2 linked regions of the Pelodiscus sinensis genome follow. The protein of the gene in region 1 purifies or fractionates together with the protein of each later gene. This does not show direct contact. Links are inferred from orthologs where the notes say so. Each region holds a gene or a part of one and is shown on either strand. Other genes may lie near its edges.

Region 1 (7,918 bases):
AAACTGTTCAATAAGATTATACTTCTCAATAACTTCTGTTGAGGGTCGAGCCATGGCCAATATGTTATCTGTTATCCTGAAAAAATAAATTAATAATTTGGATGGATATTTCATTGTGATGATTTCCTGGGTAAACTACCAAAATATATAGTTGGTTTTCATTATCAGGAAGCTACCTGTAATTAGCAAAGTGCATTTATAACTTTTTTTTGAAAATTCTTTCATCAGTTAAATGACATGCTTTATAAATTCCACTGAAACAATTAAGTTACATAACAATATACCATTATTAGAGGTGCTCAGATATCATAGTAATGAGCACATTATTAAAACTTCAGTAGATGGCACCCAGACCATAATTTCTGTGTTCCTATTCAAAGACATTTTATATGTTTCTTCTTAACTAATTTTTACAAAATGTCAATATTAATTTTAAAATACATTCCAATGACCATACAGTATTGAAAAATGCTTTAATTGAATCTATACTTATTATCTTCATTAACATGTTTTGATTAATTTTAATCTAAACTCATGAACATATTTTAACTTAGCTATATTTAAATTTCAGGGCAAACTTCTATAGTTCAGAACAGTCATGTAACATGTTGACAGGCATTTATTATTTTGGATCTGAACCAATGCCCACTGAAGGCAATGAAAGTCTTTCATTAACTTCAATGAGTTTTGTATAAAGGCCTTTATGGCTTACTGCTAAGTATTAATTGATAACTGACCTTTTATTCCAGTACACACCGTATGTAACTTGGTAGTCTATATTTCATAGAAAAATACAATATAAATGTACTACCTTAAATTCTCTAACATAGCTAATAGTTTCACTAAGCTTAACTGTGAGTGTTACATATTACCAAGAAGAGTAAAGTCCTTTAATGGCTTGCTCTTGGACACTCCATCGAGCTGGGTTTTCATACTTGCAAGCACGTCCACCACATGCCATTGAACACTGCATATGGCCAGGAATGACATGGCGAAGGCGTTCCCCTACTTTAGTATATTTTGCAGTTGGACGCCTTGAATTTCCTACAAACACACACACAAACAGTAAATAGGATTAGCAAATTATCATCACTACCCTAAATGTAACACAGCATTTTAGGTTATTAAATTACAAGAATATAGTATATTAACTATTTTTCAAGAGATTTAAGTAGCAAGGATTCTCAGGAAATATCCCATTCTTTGCTTATATTAATGCCGAAGCTTATATTAGTACTGTTAATCATGACATCAGCTTGATTTTCTTCTTAATGAAATTATAGATATGTGATACCCTCCCTGATGAAGGAAATGTCACCTTTTATCTAGAAATGTAGAGCATGCCTGCACAAAGATACGTTAAGCTATCTTTTGTTTTCATTACTTTCTGAAACCAAGGTGTCAAACTGAAATGCTCTGCATGTTAAAAATAAAGTACAAATTAAACCCCGAGTAAGACATCAGTAAATACGACACATACTATAATAAAACAATTACTATAAAATAATTTTGAAATATTTATACATGCTTATATACTTCTGAACATCAGAACAAAGTTAGTACATCATAGCTATAAAACCCAAGTATGATTTTTGGCAATCATCTAGAAATACTTCACTTTTTTTCTCAGGAAAAGTTGCATTCAGCTCTTCAGGGCTTACAGATGATATGGCCACCATAACGCGGTGTGTAGATGATGAGAGCACCTCTACAACTGAGCTCCGGCGTCGCTGGAGTATGCGGAGAAGGGGATCAGAGGAAGAATGCCTCCGACCCTGAAAAAAGTTGCTAAAAATATTGACAGCTGAGCGCCTCCTAGGTGAACCCTCCATGATTATTCACCCTTTGCAACACTTTACAAATGCTGTAGAAAACAAACTGGATCTGAAATCCAACTTGCTCAATGCCGAAGTTACACAGAAACATGTATCTTTCTGTATGATCTAACAGCTAGTCAGGATAGGCTGAGCAATCTCCATAGTAACAAACAATGAAGCTACTGATGCCAGCTACCCTTGTGGCAGCTAAATTCTATATGAATTGATTCTGCTTGGGACAAACTGTTTCACTGATGATGAGAATAGCTGCATTTCAAGTAGATAATTCTGCAACTGGACTGGAGAAATTTTCCATAAACAAAATGAATATTTCAGTAAATTGCAATTATTGTACATTCAGCACACACTACACAGTATATTATATACCAAAATACAATCAAAATGTATTTTGAGCACTGCTTTCCTAGAAATCTGTAAGTACTCCCCCACTGATTAGTTTGTCAGTCCATTACCACCTTTTCTCCTCCACTTAGCTGCTCTAAAATGCACTGTTAGTTCTGTAATGATTGGAATTAGTGTGTTGCTATTGAAATTCAATACATGATGAATTGCAGCCTGCTCAATCGTGGACCATATATATCCACTAACAAAACACAGTTTGTTATTGAAAACAAAAGGTTTATTTTTTTCAGGGCAGAGCTTTTGATTAACTATGCCTCTTGGCTCTACTGGATTGAGGTAAAGCAGACTACTGGGAGATGTAGCCATATTATTTGATTGTTCAAAGCTTCAAAAGGTAGAAGAGGTAGTTATGGGGCTATGAACTGCCTCCACCTTTTCTTCCATGCTGGCCAGAAAGATTATGGCAATCTCAAAAATCACAGGGTGCAACCTTCACTTGCCTGGAGTAAGGATTGTAAAAACAATTTAAAATAATAGTTGTCTTGTCAATTCTGTTAGAGTGCAACTTGTAGATCTTGAAGGGCAAAATAGAGAAAAGAAAAGACAGAAGAAAAATCAGTATAACCTGACTTAATAAGTATGTTACTCCTGTTGTGCTCTCTCTGAGGGCTCTCAGTCCAGGTATGTGATTTCCATCTGATGTCACTGGGACTTGTGTATGTACCCACAGAAATCGATACCTCCCGAAGTTGAACTTTCATGATGAACCCAAGTACAGGCAGTCCCCGGGTTACGTACAAGATAGGGACTGTAGGTTTGTTCTTAAGTTGAATCTGTATGTAAGTCGGAACTGGCGTCCAGATTCAGCCGCTGCTGAAACTGACCGCCAGTTCTGACTTACATACAGATTCAACTTAAGAACCCCAAGCTCCCCAAGTCAGCTGCTGCTGAAACTGATCAGCGGCTGATTCCAGGAAGCCTGGGGCAGAGCAACTCTGCCTCGGGCTTCCTGTAGTCAGCGCTGGTCAGTTTCAGCAGCGGCTGACTTGGGGACACCTGGGGCAGAGCAGCTGGGGTGCTGCTGGGATGCTCCAGTAGCACCGCTCCTCGCTCCTTGGCGCTACTGGACCAACCCAGCAGCACCCCAGCTGCTCTGCCCCAGGCGTCCTGATTCAGCCACTGCTGAAACTGACCAGCAGCAGCTGAATCAGGACCTGGGGCAGAGCAGCTGAGGTGCTGCCGGGTTGATCCAGTAGTGCCCAGAGCGGCGCTGCAGGACCAATCGGCAGCGCCCCAGCTGCTCTGCCCCAGGGTCCACAACAAAAGCCTGGTCTGCTGGGGGGGGCACACTAGCTGCGCCCCCCCCCCCCCCAGCAGACCAGGGACACGGGGAGCAGAGCCGCAGAGGCAGCGGGGTGCCGCGCCTCTGAGGCTTCGCTCTGGCATAGTCTCAGAGGCAAGGGACCCCGCAGCGGCTGCGGCTTCAGTCCCGGTGCCTGTGGTCTGCTGGGGACGGTCCCCAGCAGACCACAGGCACCGGGAGCGAAGCCGCAGCAGCGGCGGGTTCCCGCGCTTCTGAGGCTTTGCTCTGGCAAAGCCTTAGAAGCCTGGGAACCCGCCACTGCTGCGGCTTCAGTCCCGGTGCCCCTGGTCTGCTGGAGATGGTCTCCAGCAGACCAGGGGCACCGGGAGCAGCTTACGAACGGGGCTTTCTCGCCCCGGAGCTCGCAGGCAGCAATCCGCCACCTCGATCTCCAGGGCGAGAAAGCCCCATTCGTAAGTGCGGATCCAACATAAGTCGGATCCGCGTAAGTCGGGGACTGCCTGTAAATAAAAAGTGGCTTTTTCTAGTTTTAAAATGTCAGGAAATGATCTCTCTCTTTTAGGTACAGACAAGAAGGACATGACTGGAATTTGAACAGATGTACCACTTGGCTAGTAAGGACTCACAGAGAGGTTTGATGCTGTTCCCAGGCCTACCACTTGCCAGTGATGGCAGGAGGGAAGAGGAACGTCTAAAATCTGCTCCCTTGGCTGCTGCTGTTGCCCAAGAACCTTTGCTACCCTGATCCAACCCAAATGCTCATATCAGGGGTGAGAGGAAGTATTGAGGCCTGCTCCTTAGCTGTTGTCCATGCATGTCTGCTACCAAACCATGCTCTCCTCAACTAATCACACGCCACCGTACAGCTGCTGCCTACAAGCCCTTTTTCTAAATCTGACATGTTCAAAAAAGAAAAACAAGCACTTTGAATTAAGCAGCATTCTAGACCTGAACGGCTGCTAAGGCAAGTTTCTGGGGTGTCTGTTATCGGGTGATCATAGGCTTTTTTTTTTGTTTGTTTAATTGCTGGATCTGTTGCCAACGACTACTTGTAGCTGTCCTGATGTTTGAAATTTTAGGAGTTATTTTTGTCTGGATAATGCACGAGTGCTGAGGTTTAAGTATCATTTGTGATTAACGGGTCTGTTTTAGAGATGGTTCAAATGCTGGCCACATCCAGAGAATATATCAAACTTTAGCTCATCAGTGATTTTGCTTTCTTAGATTTAATTCTGTATGAATCTTCATAAGTCAGCAACATTTTTCTCCAATATATGTCACATGCAAGAAAGTTATAGCGGAGCCAGCAGTGGATGAGACTGAGGTGTGCAAAATGCTGAATGCAATCACCCTTATTGACTTCCATGCCTCTTGGAAGTATTCAGCCAAATGTGTGAATCATAATTATTGCCAGTGTTCCCTCTAGGATTTTCCAACCATGATCGGGATGAGTTTTGGCTTGTGCACCAATACTGAGGTCATGTGCACTGGTTTGGATGTGTGCCACTGTGTCACCCAATTTATTAACACACACAATGTTACTATCCAGTAGAGCAGAAACCCCGCCCCCTCACACTCACCATGTGGCAGGTCCCATTCCCAGCCACTGGAGCAGACCTTGCCCCCCCCCCCCAAGCGGCAGGTCCCATTCCTGGCCCCAGCCACCAGAACATCACCAGAACAGGTCCCGTTCCCCCCGCCCCCCCGCCCATGTAGCAGCCCTGGCCACCAGAGAAGGCCCACCCAATGCCACACGTCACGTCCCAGCCCCAGCGGCTCCCTCACCACACTGTCTCAGCTAGCCCCACCCACCAGAGCAGCCATCTGCCACGCAGCTCTCCAGAGGAGGTGGGTGGGGGAAGAATTTTTTGTGCGCAGCAGTGCAGGCACGCAATGTAGCGAGAATATTATCGCCCATACAATTTTTAATATTTATTATTTTTGTGGTACCCCATGATGTCTAAGCAATTTCCAAAAACCAAAGATGGCACCATCCTCGGTCACAAGAATTTTATCACAAGAGAGCTAAAGGGAAGAAAAGCATGTCAAGGTGGTAACTGGTCATAGTCATGTTTGAATAACACAATGAATTATTTGTACTGCATGTACACACACATTATCCCCACCACCTAGCCATAACGGATATATATGGCTTTTTGGGGGGGTGGGGAAGGGACAGAGAGCAGGGATTCCTTTTTAAAACTCATCTAAACTTTCTTTTAAAAGGCATATTAAAGAAAATGATTACCTGAATTCATAGTTGAAAGATATGCACTGCTCTTTACCAGTGAACAATAAGGCAATTCATTTTGCAGCAAGACCCCTGCAGCCATTGCGGTACCTGTTGAAATAGTAACATGTTTATTGTACACACATCAGCGGAGACTTAAAAAAAATCACTGGAGGTTAGCTATGCAATACAAAAATACAGTTGAATAAGTTACATGTAGCACAGAGTGAGGCAGAGGCCTTGGGCAAATAGATACTGGCTGCACTACTCATTGTTACACAGTGGATTTAAACTGTAAGAAGTGACAAATTTCGCAGAAAATTCAAGCTCATACAACCTGCAATTTTAGTTCTGGAGCTCTGCTGAGTATGGACTCCAGAGCTGAACTTTTTATACAAATATGAGTCATTCAACAAAGGTCTTAGAATATTCAGTTCATTGCCATCTCAATTTCATCAAGTTCTCTACATAAATACACAACTATAGAGCAGAATCTTGTAAGAATGCTTTTTTCCCTCTAGCAGAAGCTAATGAAATCATATGCAAACTGGATACGACCAGACTGGGTCTGAGACTGGGAGTGACAAACTCACTACAAAAAATAATTTTCCCTCTTTTGGTATTCATACCTTCTCATTCACTGTTGGATGTGGGCCGCATCCATCCAGACTGAACTGATTTCGCTAGCACTGGTCCTCCACATAGTAATGTAACACCCACATCTTTGCATACACACACTTACTGATCTGAAGTCTCCACTTCGTGATTCTGATGAAGCATGTTCCAGCCCAACGAAAGCTTATGCCCAAATAAATGTGTTAGTCTTTAAAGTGCCACAGTCCTCCATGCTGTTTTTCATGAAATCAACGTGGCAGCACTGTTTCTAGATCAGAAACTTCGTACTTACAATTTTAATTACTTTGCATTTTTTCAAGATACACTCATGAACATGTGCTGTTAATCATCCACAATAGCATTCATAATCACCATAATTAAGCACAGAAATCAGGTGATGGATCTGAACAAACTTCAGGTTATTTTTGCCATATTTGCAATTACAGAAACCATATTTTGGAAAAGCGACGAGGAGTCCTGTGGCACCTTATAGACTAACTGAAGTGTAGGAGCATAAGCTTTCGTGGGCAAAGACCCACTTCGTCAGATGCATGCATCTGACGAAGTGGGTCTTTGCCCACGAAAGCTTATGCTCCTACACTTCAGTTAGTCTATAAGGTGCCACAGGACTCCTCGTCGCTTTTGCAGATTCAGACTAACACGGCTACCCCTCTGATACTTGACATATTTTGGAAGACACTTCTCCATTTAAAAAGTTTGGTATCTGAGATCTTGCCAACATGGAGAAGGGATTTTTGCTATAACCTAAGCTGTGAATTTAAACCAATACATTTCTATTAGCATAAATGCCCACAGGGACACCCTTATCCCAGTGTCAAAGTGTTTATCCTATTTAGCTTACATCCCCTAGTAAGTGGTTTACACAAATACAAAAATACTTTAAAACAAGCATAAAAGCGTCCATATAGGATGTTACATTGGCAGAACAGTTAAAACTCCCATGCAGACAAGCCTGAAGACCAAATTCTGCAACAATGCTTTTAGGATTCAACAGCATTAATTAAGCTGCCTTGAAGTACAGGAAATTTACTCAAAAGGTGTTAAGGGGGTGAGGTGGTGAAGCAGCCCAAGCCTATGTGTTTGTAAGGTGTTAATTGCTTGTTTTTCCTGGTCCATTGTTTAATTTATGCATATTTTGTATAATTGGTTTAAAAATATAGACTTAAAACATCCTCAGTGTGCATTTATCAGTTCAATGTAGCTCTGTCTGATTTCATAATGGAGTAAATCAGACGTATCCCCAATAAAGACAATGGGCCTGCTTCTCATTTACAGTAAAGCCATTTTAAAGACCTTTACTGCCAAAGCAATGTAAAGTGGACATAAGTTACATTTACCAACATTTTAAGGAAAAACTTAAAAAATAACAATAGACTAGTAGCACCTTAAAACTAACAAAACATGTAGATGGTATCATGAGTTTTCATGGGCAAAACCCACTTCTTCAGATGACAGGAGTGTTAGAAGTCCAGATCCAAGAATAAATAAGGGAAGGAGGGAGGGGGAGAGAAGGAAAAAAAGAGAAAGAAAAGGAGAAAAAAGGAGGAG
Region 2 (7,659 bases), on another chromosome or scaffold:
AGCTATTCCAGTGTACATCTCGACTACAAAAAATCCCTGTCTTCAAAATCCCAGTCTTCTTCTCCCCCATTGAACACTAAAAAAGCCTTTCCAAAAAGATGATATAAGCTGACTATGAAGTCATACTCTTGTCTCTATCTAGAAAAAGCTTGTACAATGAGCAACTCAGATCCTTTTTACAATTAAAACCAGATATTTATACAAAAATTTGTTAAAAGCAACACAGTCATGTTGAAATGCAAGTTAGTTAGGGCAGGGTTTCCCAAAGTGTGCTCTGTGGAGCCCTGGGGTCCAGCAGCTGCTTGAGAAAATATTAACAACAATTGTATGACCCTGTTATTTTGTCACTAATTTTCTGATATATATTCCCCCCCCTTCAGAAAATTAAGAAATAAACAAGAAATAAAAACAGAATTTCTAAACTTTGTCTGTCTATCTGGGTACCTATTAAATTAAAAATCATTAAATTTTAAGGCTCCACAAAATTTTCAGGACCCATGGAGGCTCCCTGGCTGAGAAAGTTTGGGAAACCCTGAGTTAAGGTATTGTGGCTAGCTATTGCAGCTGTCAGGAAGTTAAATCATCTTTCATACTCAGTGTAGGAACTATAATATTTAAGAACCAAGAGGGGAAATTAAGAAATAAGTCTGGCTCTTGGATTTCCAGATCTTTGGAAGAGCCATTTAATCACAGCTGTTTACTACAATACAAAAAAAAATCCCACCACACCCACACACGCAACACAAAAATTCACCCCCATAAAAACCTTATTAACAACTACCACCCATTACTATATGTAACGGAACAGATGCCTGAACATAAAAGGAAAAGCTCTAATATTCTTCCGTCCTGTTCATAGGATTCATCTATCAGTGGAAAATAGGCAGAGTCAAGATTTCCTCAATTGTTTACATTTAATTCAAAAGCCAGGTAGCTACAGAATACCAAACAAAATCCATAAAAATTGAAGTCTGGTAGGAAAAAAACTATACAACCATTATCTAAATTGCCATTAACATTCAATCTTGAATGCTAATTGCTGAACAATTTAAAATATATCCATCTTAGGCAAAATATATTAGAAGTTATTGAAATCTGTTACAACCTATTTGTTTCTAAAGCCTTTCAGTTGCTAAGCATCACACAAAACTTTTGAAGAGCACCATTTCCAGATATTTCAGAGGCAGATGGCTCCATGGGAGCGGGTACATGCACAGGGAGGCGGCTCTGTGGGAGCTGGTACACACGGAGAGCCAGTTTAAAAGCCAGCTCCCTGCATGCACCAGCTCTCGCCACCCCACCTATGCAGCCGCGACAGGTGAGGGGAAGGACTGTGTGTAACTGTGCATGTTAACTCATGAGCCCAGGCTCATGGATTAACCATGTACACATTCACATCCCTAACAGGAACCTTATACTACGAAAGTGTAGAGGCAGTTTCCACTAATAATTCATCATGAAAAATAACTGATACTTGAAAAGCTTGTACAAAAAAAGCTTGTAATTCTGATTTATAAATCAGCATGGAAAGACTGGGAGATGTTTTGCATAGTGTCAGATACATTACATCTTCAAGGTGCTGTGCAAACATTCTTTAGAGGGTTGTTGCGAGAATTTATGAAAAATATCATTATTCCCATTTCACTGATGGGGAAAACAGACAAGTTAGTCCCTCAGTCTCAATGGCCATTACGTGTCATGTGACAGATATTTTGGAAAACAAGTTAACTAGTGTTGCAATCTATGGGGCAAATTCAATTCTAACAAACAGCAGGAGGACCAGGGATATCAGCTGAATTGCACTTCTACCATATACAAATCGGATCCCAGAATATACTGGAATGACAATGTTTCTACTTGCTTTCCTACTTCGCTAAAATTATCTCAGAGGGGTAGCCATGTCAGTCCATAACTTCAAAAACAATGAGTGGTCTTGTGGCACTACTGATTTGGCTAAAATGACGTTCAGTAAAACCCAGTTTTGGAGGAAATACTTCAGCAACACCCTTGCTAAGTTTAACCAACAGCAATCAGATGTAGTCACTGTGAAGAAGTTTGTTCTTACCTTCTGCTACATCATCATCTACAGCCCCTTTCACCTGAGAAAAACACCACTGAATGTCATTCCCTCCTCCTCCAGCTCCTAGAGAAAGCAAAACAAATAATTGATTCCAGTAAACGGAGATGGTAGCCACCGCTGGCAAGTGACACAATTTAGTCAGTACTGGACACACCTACAACAATCAAAATTTCTTATGCAAAGACATAGGTTCCAAAACTTGATTACAAACTGTCTCTCTGCAACTCCACCACCCACCGCCTCCCCGCCCTGACAATGCTTTTGCCCGTGATTTGCCCAATATTTAAAGCAACATCTGTCAACAGTAATGATAGAATGACAAAAGTTGCTCTTTGTAACTGATGAAAAAACTCACAGAACTATCAAAACAAGCACGGCTAGTGTTAATAAAACTACGTTATGTTAAAAATGAGCAACAGCTGGTATATTTCACAACACTTTTTTAATATAAAAACTTCAGTGCCCTCTAAAACATAGAGCACTTCACTTACAAGGGACTTAAATTTCAAAGTAAAATATTAGGTGCGAGAATGGCCCTAACAAGTTTTCCAAATATTTCAAATAATTAAATGTTGGCACTTTATAAAAAAAAAAGGAAACAATTTTTCTTTTGCAAAATACTTTATACCGCTTAAGTACTTCAGACTAGAGGAAACAAGTTTTAAAGCAAGTTTATAAACCTCTTCCCTCCTCTGTCGTAATAGTAGCTAAAGAAATTGTCAGGCTTAGATTTTTTTAAAAGCAAGGAATCTGTGCAGCAAACTGAACAATCTGCCTTAAGCTAACAGCAAGTATAACTACCGTAGAAAATGGGTCGAAGAGAAAACTTCAGGAACATTACCACCTCCGCAGAAGGTAGTGATTCATTTGAACCTCACCACCCAAAAGCACACAAAAAAAATCCACCCCTTTCTTTTGCATTTCATTCTTAGCAAATCACTGGGCTGGGGTCCAGACAGGAAGAGAAATTGAAACAAGTTTGCTCTGTCTGCAAGAGGATATCAAAATGGAAATTCCTTCTCAACCCACAACCAAAAAAGAACAGATGTATCTTGTGAGGCATTAATGTGATGCAACATTTTTGGGGAACAAGAGGGGACATGCAGGAAGGATCCTTCCCTACCCCACCCACACCAAGTTGAGGAACAAATTAACTTAAGTTCAAGTTAGCAACAGCAGGATGATCCCTCTCTCCATGAGGGATCAAGAGGCTGCTCGGGCAAAGAGGGCATGGGGAGGCGGAGGAATAAACCAAAAAGGATTAGATTGTAATATCTTTTTGGAGCTTCTTACAAAGTCCAAGAATTAGGAAAGACAACGTGAACTAGAATCAGCCAAGGTGATGGGGAAATCTTATCATGATATCAATCTACACCAGTGTTTCTCAACCAGTGGTACGAGTACCCTTAAGGGTACACAAGAGAAGTCTGGAGGGGGGTACGTCAACACAACTGAAATTTGGAGAAAACTGAATTTTTTTAAATTTTACAGTGCTTTATTATTTTTGTACTTTTTACACCCAAAAATTTCATTGCCCGCCTGGCTACGATTAAGTTGTGTAAATAAATGTCCTGCAATGGTAGAAAAAAAAGTGTGTCTGAAATCTGTAGGTACTGGGGGTACTTATACATGTATCAAAAACAAATATTGCAGTTCATATTGTAAAGATCAGCGTTTCTCAACCTTTTTTTTTTTAAGTACCCCTTTAAAAAAATATAACTGTAGGTACTGGGCGTACTTTTTTTTTTTTTAAAGGGGTACTTAAAAAAAAGGTTGAGAAACGCTGATCTATACAATATGAACCGCAATATTTGTTTTTGATACATGTATAGGGAAAGTATCCCACTTTCAGCATCTTTCACCAACCATCCAAAACCCCTATCCATCCAATTTCTCCTCTCCCCCCTCCCCCCATCTGTATTTGACTCTTACTTTTAACACCATGGAAAAATTTTGAGAATGTCTGTTTGCAAGAAAAAACATTATATGCTGCAAACTGTATTTTATTTTTTATGCAACTTGCTACATTAAAGGCCTTGTTTCAGCAGATTCAAAAGGGTGGAGTGACATAGCCTGGTGTGTGTGCGCGTGTGGGAAGCAAGGTGCAAACCTAAATACTGCCTCTCATGCTGCTCTAGAAAATGCATGGCACTGAAGAGGCAATTAATTTGCAGAAGGGGGAAATGAACATATCACCACAAGAAAGAGACAGGGACATCCTATGCATGTGGATAATTTTTATCTTCCAAATTGCTCTTTAGGATGCAAGATAAACAACCTGAAAAATGGAGAATGAACATAAATCTCCAGAATTAAGAAAATTAGACATACAACCACCATGCATTATTGCACACGCTCAGAGAGACTTGAATTTTCTAAGAAACTACATCCTCTTCCCAATTTCACCTTTCTCTGCAGCTACCCACATAGCTGCACCCGACAGTAGGGTGCAACTGCACTCTAAACACAATCGCATCTGCACCCTACAGCCACTCTCCTGTACAGATCTGCACCCCCTTCAACACAACACATACGTGCAATTTCCTCGCAAAACCAGAAAGTCTGGGGAAGCCAAAAAAAAAGACACACCCAGCTTAGAAACCTCCTAACACGCTGAACTTCAGAAATACAAGGCTTTTTCCCCCAGACCTCCATCCACCTTCTTCCTTGTGAAACACAAATGTGTTGCAAGCAGGGAAGCAAAAGAGGGGAAGGAGCACAGATTTCTAGAAGGGGAAAAAAAAATAGGACAAGCGTATGCAATGCAAAGGGCACTTCAGGATTCAAGGTTTTAGGAATGCAAATTTTTTAAAAAGGAGGAAGAGAAACCGAGCCCACACTCCGAGGGAGGAATAGCCACCAGAGAGAGGGAAGGAGGAAAAGGAGACCGAGGTGCCCAGCAAGTCCATGCCACCTCCACGCACAGCAGGCAGCAGCAGCTCAGCGTGGCTGGCTGATTCAAGGCCATTTTAGCGGCCTCGCCTGCCCCTCCACAGACCTCCCCCCGCCCCCTGGGCTCTGTGGGCAGCGGGGGCCGGCCCCCGGGAAGGAGGGGGCTCGCTCCCCCTTACCTGCCATGTTGGGCTCCCGAGTGGCCGGGTCGGAGAGAGCGGCCTCCCGGCTCTCCAGGCGGCCCGCTGCGCCGGGCGGGTGGCGAGCGTGGAGGGAGGATGGCGGCAGATTGTCCCCCGGGGGGGGGGCGGTGCGAAGCCGGCTCCGTTCGGCTTCCCCCGCGCTCTTCGCGTCGGTCTTTCCTTGCCAGCCCGCCCCCCCCCCCTTCTCGTTCCAAGCTTCCAGTTTCAAAATGGCGCCGGCTGAGCTGGGGGGGTGACGTCACTCGGAGAGGGGTAGGGGCGGGGTGAGAACTCCAGAGAGAAGGGAGGGGACAGGAGGGGCGTCCGGGGAAGACGGTTGGTTCGGTTGCGTCCGCGCCTGCGGCTCTCGCTGGCGCCTCTCGGCGAACTCCTGCTCACCAGCCCCGTGCGCTGTGCTCACTGCACCCTGCACATCTGCCCAGCTGTGCCCCAGCTCCTGCCGGCTGGATCCTCGCTGCACCCGCACATCTGCCCAGCTGTGCCCCAGCTCCTGCCAGCTGGAGCCTCGCTGCACCCGCACATCTGCCCAGCTGTGCCCCAGCTCCTGCCGGCTGGAGCCTCGCTGCACCCGCACATCTGCCCAGCTGTGCCCCAGCTCCTGCCAGCTGGAGCCTCGCTGCACCCGCACATCTGCCCAGCTGTGCCCCAGCTCCTGCCGGCTGGATCCTCGCTGCACCCTGCACATCTGCCCAGCTGTGCCCCAGCTCCTGCCGGCTGGATCCTCGCTGCACCCGCACATCTGCCCAGCTGTGCCCCAGCTCCAGCCAGCTGGAGCCTCGCTGCACCCCCACATCTGCCCAGCTGTGCCCCAGCTCCTGCCAGCTGGAGCCTCGCTGCACCCGCACATCTGCCCAGCTGTGCCCCAGCTCCTGCCGGCTGAATCCTCGCTGCACCCGCACCTCTGCCCAGCTGTGCCCCAGCTCCTGCCGGCTGGAGCCTCACTGCACCCGCACATCTGCCCAGCTGTGCCCCAGCTCCTGCCGGCTGGATCCTCACTGCACCCGCACTTGTGTGCATTGCACCCGCACATTTGCCCAGTCGCACCCACTGCACCCGTGCTATCCCCACGGTTTGCCGGCTGCATCCTCACTGTGCCCGCTGTGCCCACTGCACCCCACCTCCTGGGTCCTCACTGCACCCACACATTTTCCCAGCTGTGCCCACTGCACCCCACCTCCTGCCAGCTGGGTCCTCACTGCACTCACACATCTCCCAAGCTGTGCCCACTGCACCCGCACTACCCCACCCCTGCCTGCTGCATCCCAGCCCATCCCAGCCACACATCTTCCCAGCTGTGCCCACTGCACTCAGACCTGTCCCCACTTCCTGCCAGCTGCATCCCAGCCAGGGGTGCTGGAACAATTTTTAGTGGGGGTGCTGACAGCTGTTGTACCAAATTGGAAACCCTGTGTATAATGGAAACCACTTCTAGCTAGGGGATGCTGCAGCACTCCTACACCCCTAGTTGCCACACCTATGGTCCTAGCCATTCCCACCCACTGTATTCACTATACCGGCACATCTGCCCAGCTGTGCCCACTGCATCTACATGCATCTCCACCTCTTGCTAGCTGCACCTCAGTAAGCTGCATTCACAAATCTCCCCAGCTCCTACCACTCTACACAGAACCTGCACATCTGCTCAGCCCTTCCCATCAACTGAATATCCATCAACTTCTCTGCTCCCTGTGACCACTGCACCACACCTCCTCCTAGCACCTGCCACAAACATTCATTTCTCCTACCCCCCTGCCCTGTCTCCATCAACTATGTTCCCTAACAGGGCATACCCACTTATTGCTGGGCACACTGCACCTCCACCTCTGATCAACCGCTGCTTGCTACTTCCCTGTGCCTGTCAGCACCAGCTGTGCTCATTTCTCTGGCCAGCACTTGCCATCTGTGCTGCACCCACAACTGTACCCAGGGTCCACTAGCTGCTGGAGAAAAGGTTCTGATTTGGGCTCCCTTTGATTCATGTTACAAATTAACACGGCGCTTTAAAGAATTAGCACCATATTCTCTAAAGAATTCGGGTATAAACCCCATCCTGGGGAGGTTGTGTGTTTTATTTGTGCTGTTAGATGTATCGCATTAAAAAAGGCCTGGAATAGATTTCAGCATCTGTGCCCGAGAAAGCCGCCTTCTCAGTGCACCAATCATTTCTGTCCTAAACTATTTGTCAAAGTATTTCTCAGCCCCATTCCTTATTTCAGCCAGATGTTGAGTCTTCTCTGTCTCTCTTCACTCCTCTGATGACATTCCTCATTCAACTTACCCAGTATTTCTCTGTTCTAGCCACACCCCCCGTTTGAATGCTCTCCCCTCGCCCCCACCTCAGGATGGTTTCCACGACATCTGTAGCCTTTTAGTTCATATTTTACTAGATAACCCTTCTCCGTTCTCATTGCTATTCCTTGCATATACCCAACCGTGCTCCTGAGCCATTTTTAGCCTACATCCACCTTTCATCCTGACAGTCTG

What was found. The genes of interacting proteins can lie anywhere in the genome.
Region 2: the proteins of PTPDC1 (region 1) and PPP2R2A purify together in Homo sapiens (affinity purification with mass spectrometry; 4 studies listed by BioGRID and IntAct, counting the BioPlex papers as one, with this or other methods). This does not show direct contact. The link is inferred for Pelodiscus sinensis from reciprocal best matches to the Homo sapiens genes PTPDC1 and PPP2R2A.

What each region holds. Positions count from the first base shown.
Region 1 is NC_134721.1:50,157,760-50,165,677, forward strand, and holds the start of PTPDC1 (protein tyrosine phosphatase domain-containing protein 1), read right to left. Parts: upstream 3,058-7,918; 5' UTR 1,833-3,057; coding exon 1,619-1,832; intron 1,045-1,618; coding exon 873-1,044; intron 77-872; coding exon 1-76. UniProt on the Homo sapiens protein: May play roles in cilia formation and/or maintenance.
Region 2 is NC_134738.1:8,923,607-8,931,265, forward strand, and holds the start of PPP2R2A (serine/threonine-protein phosphatase 2A 55 kDa regulatory subunit B alpha isoform), read right to left. Parts: upstream 3,004-7,659; 5' UTR 2,919-3,003; coding exon 2,882-2,918; intron 2,144-2,881; coding exon 2,066-2,143; intron 1-2,065. UniProt on the Homo sapiens protein: Substrate-recognition subunit of protein phosphatase 2A (PP2A) that plays a key role in cell cycle by controlling mitosis entry and exit. Involved in chromosome clustering during late mitosis by mediating dephosphorylation of MKI67.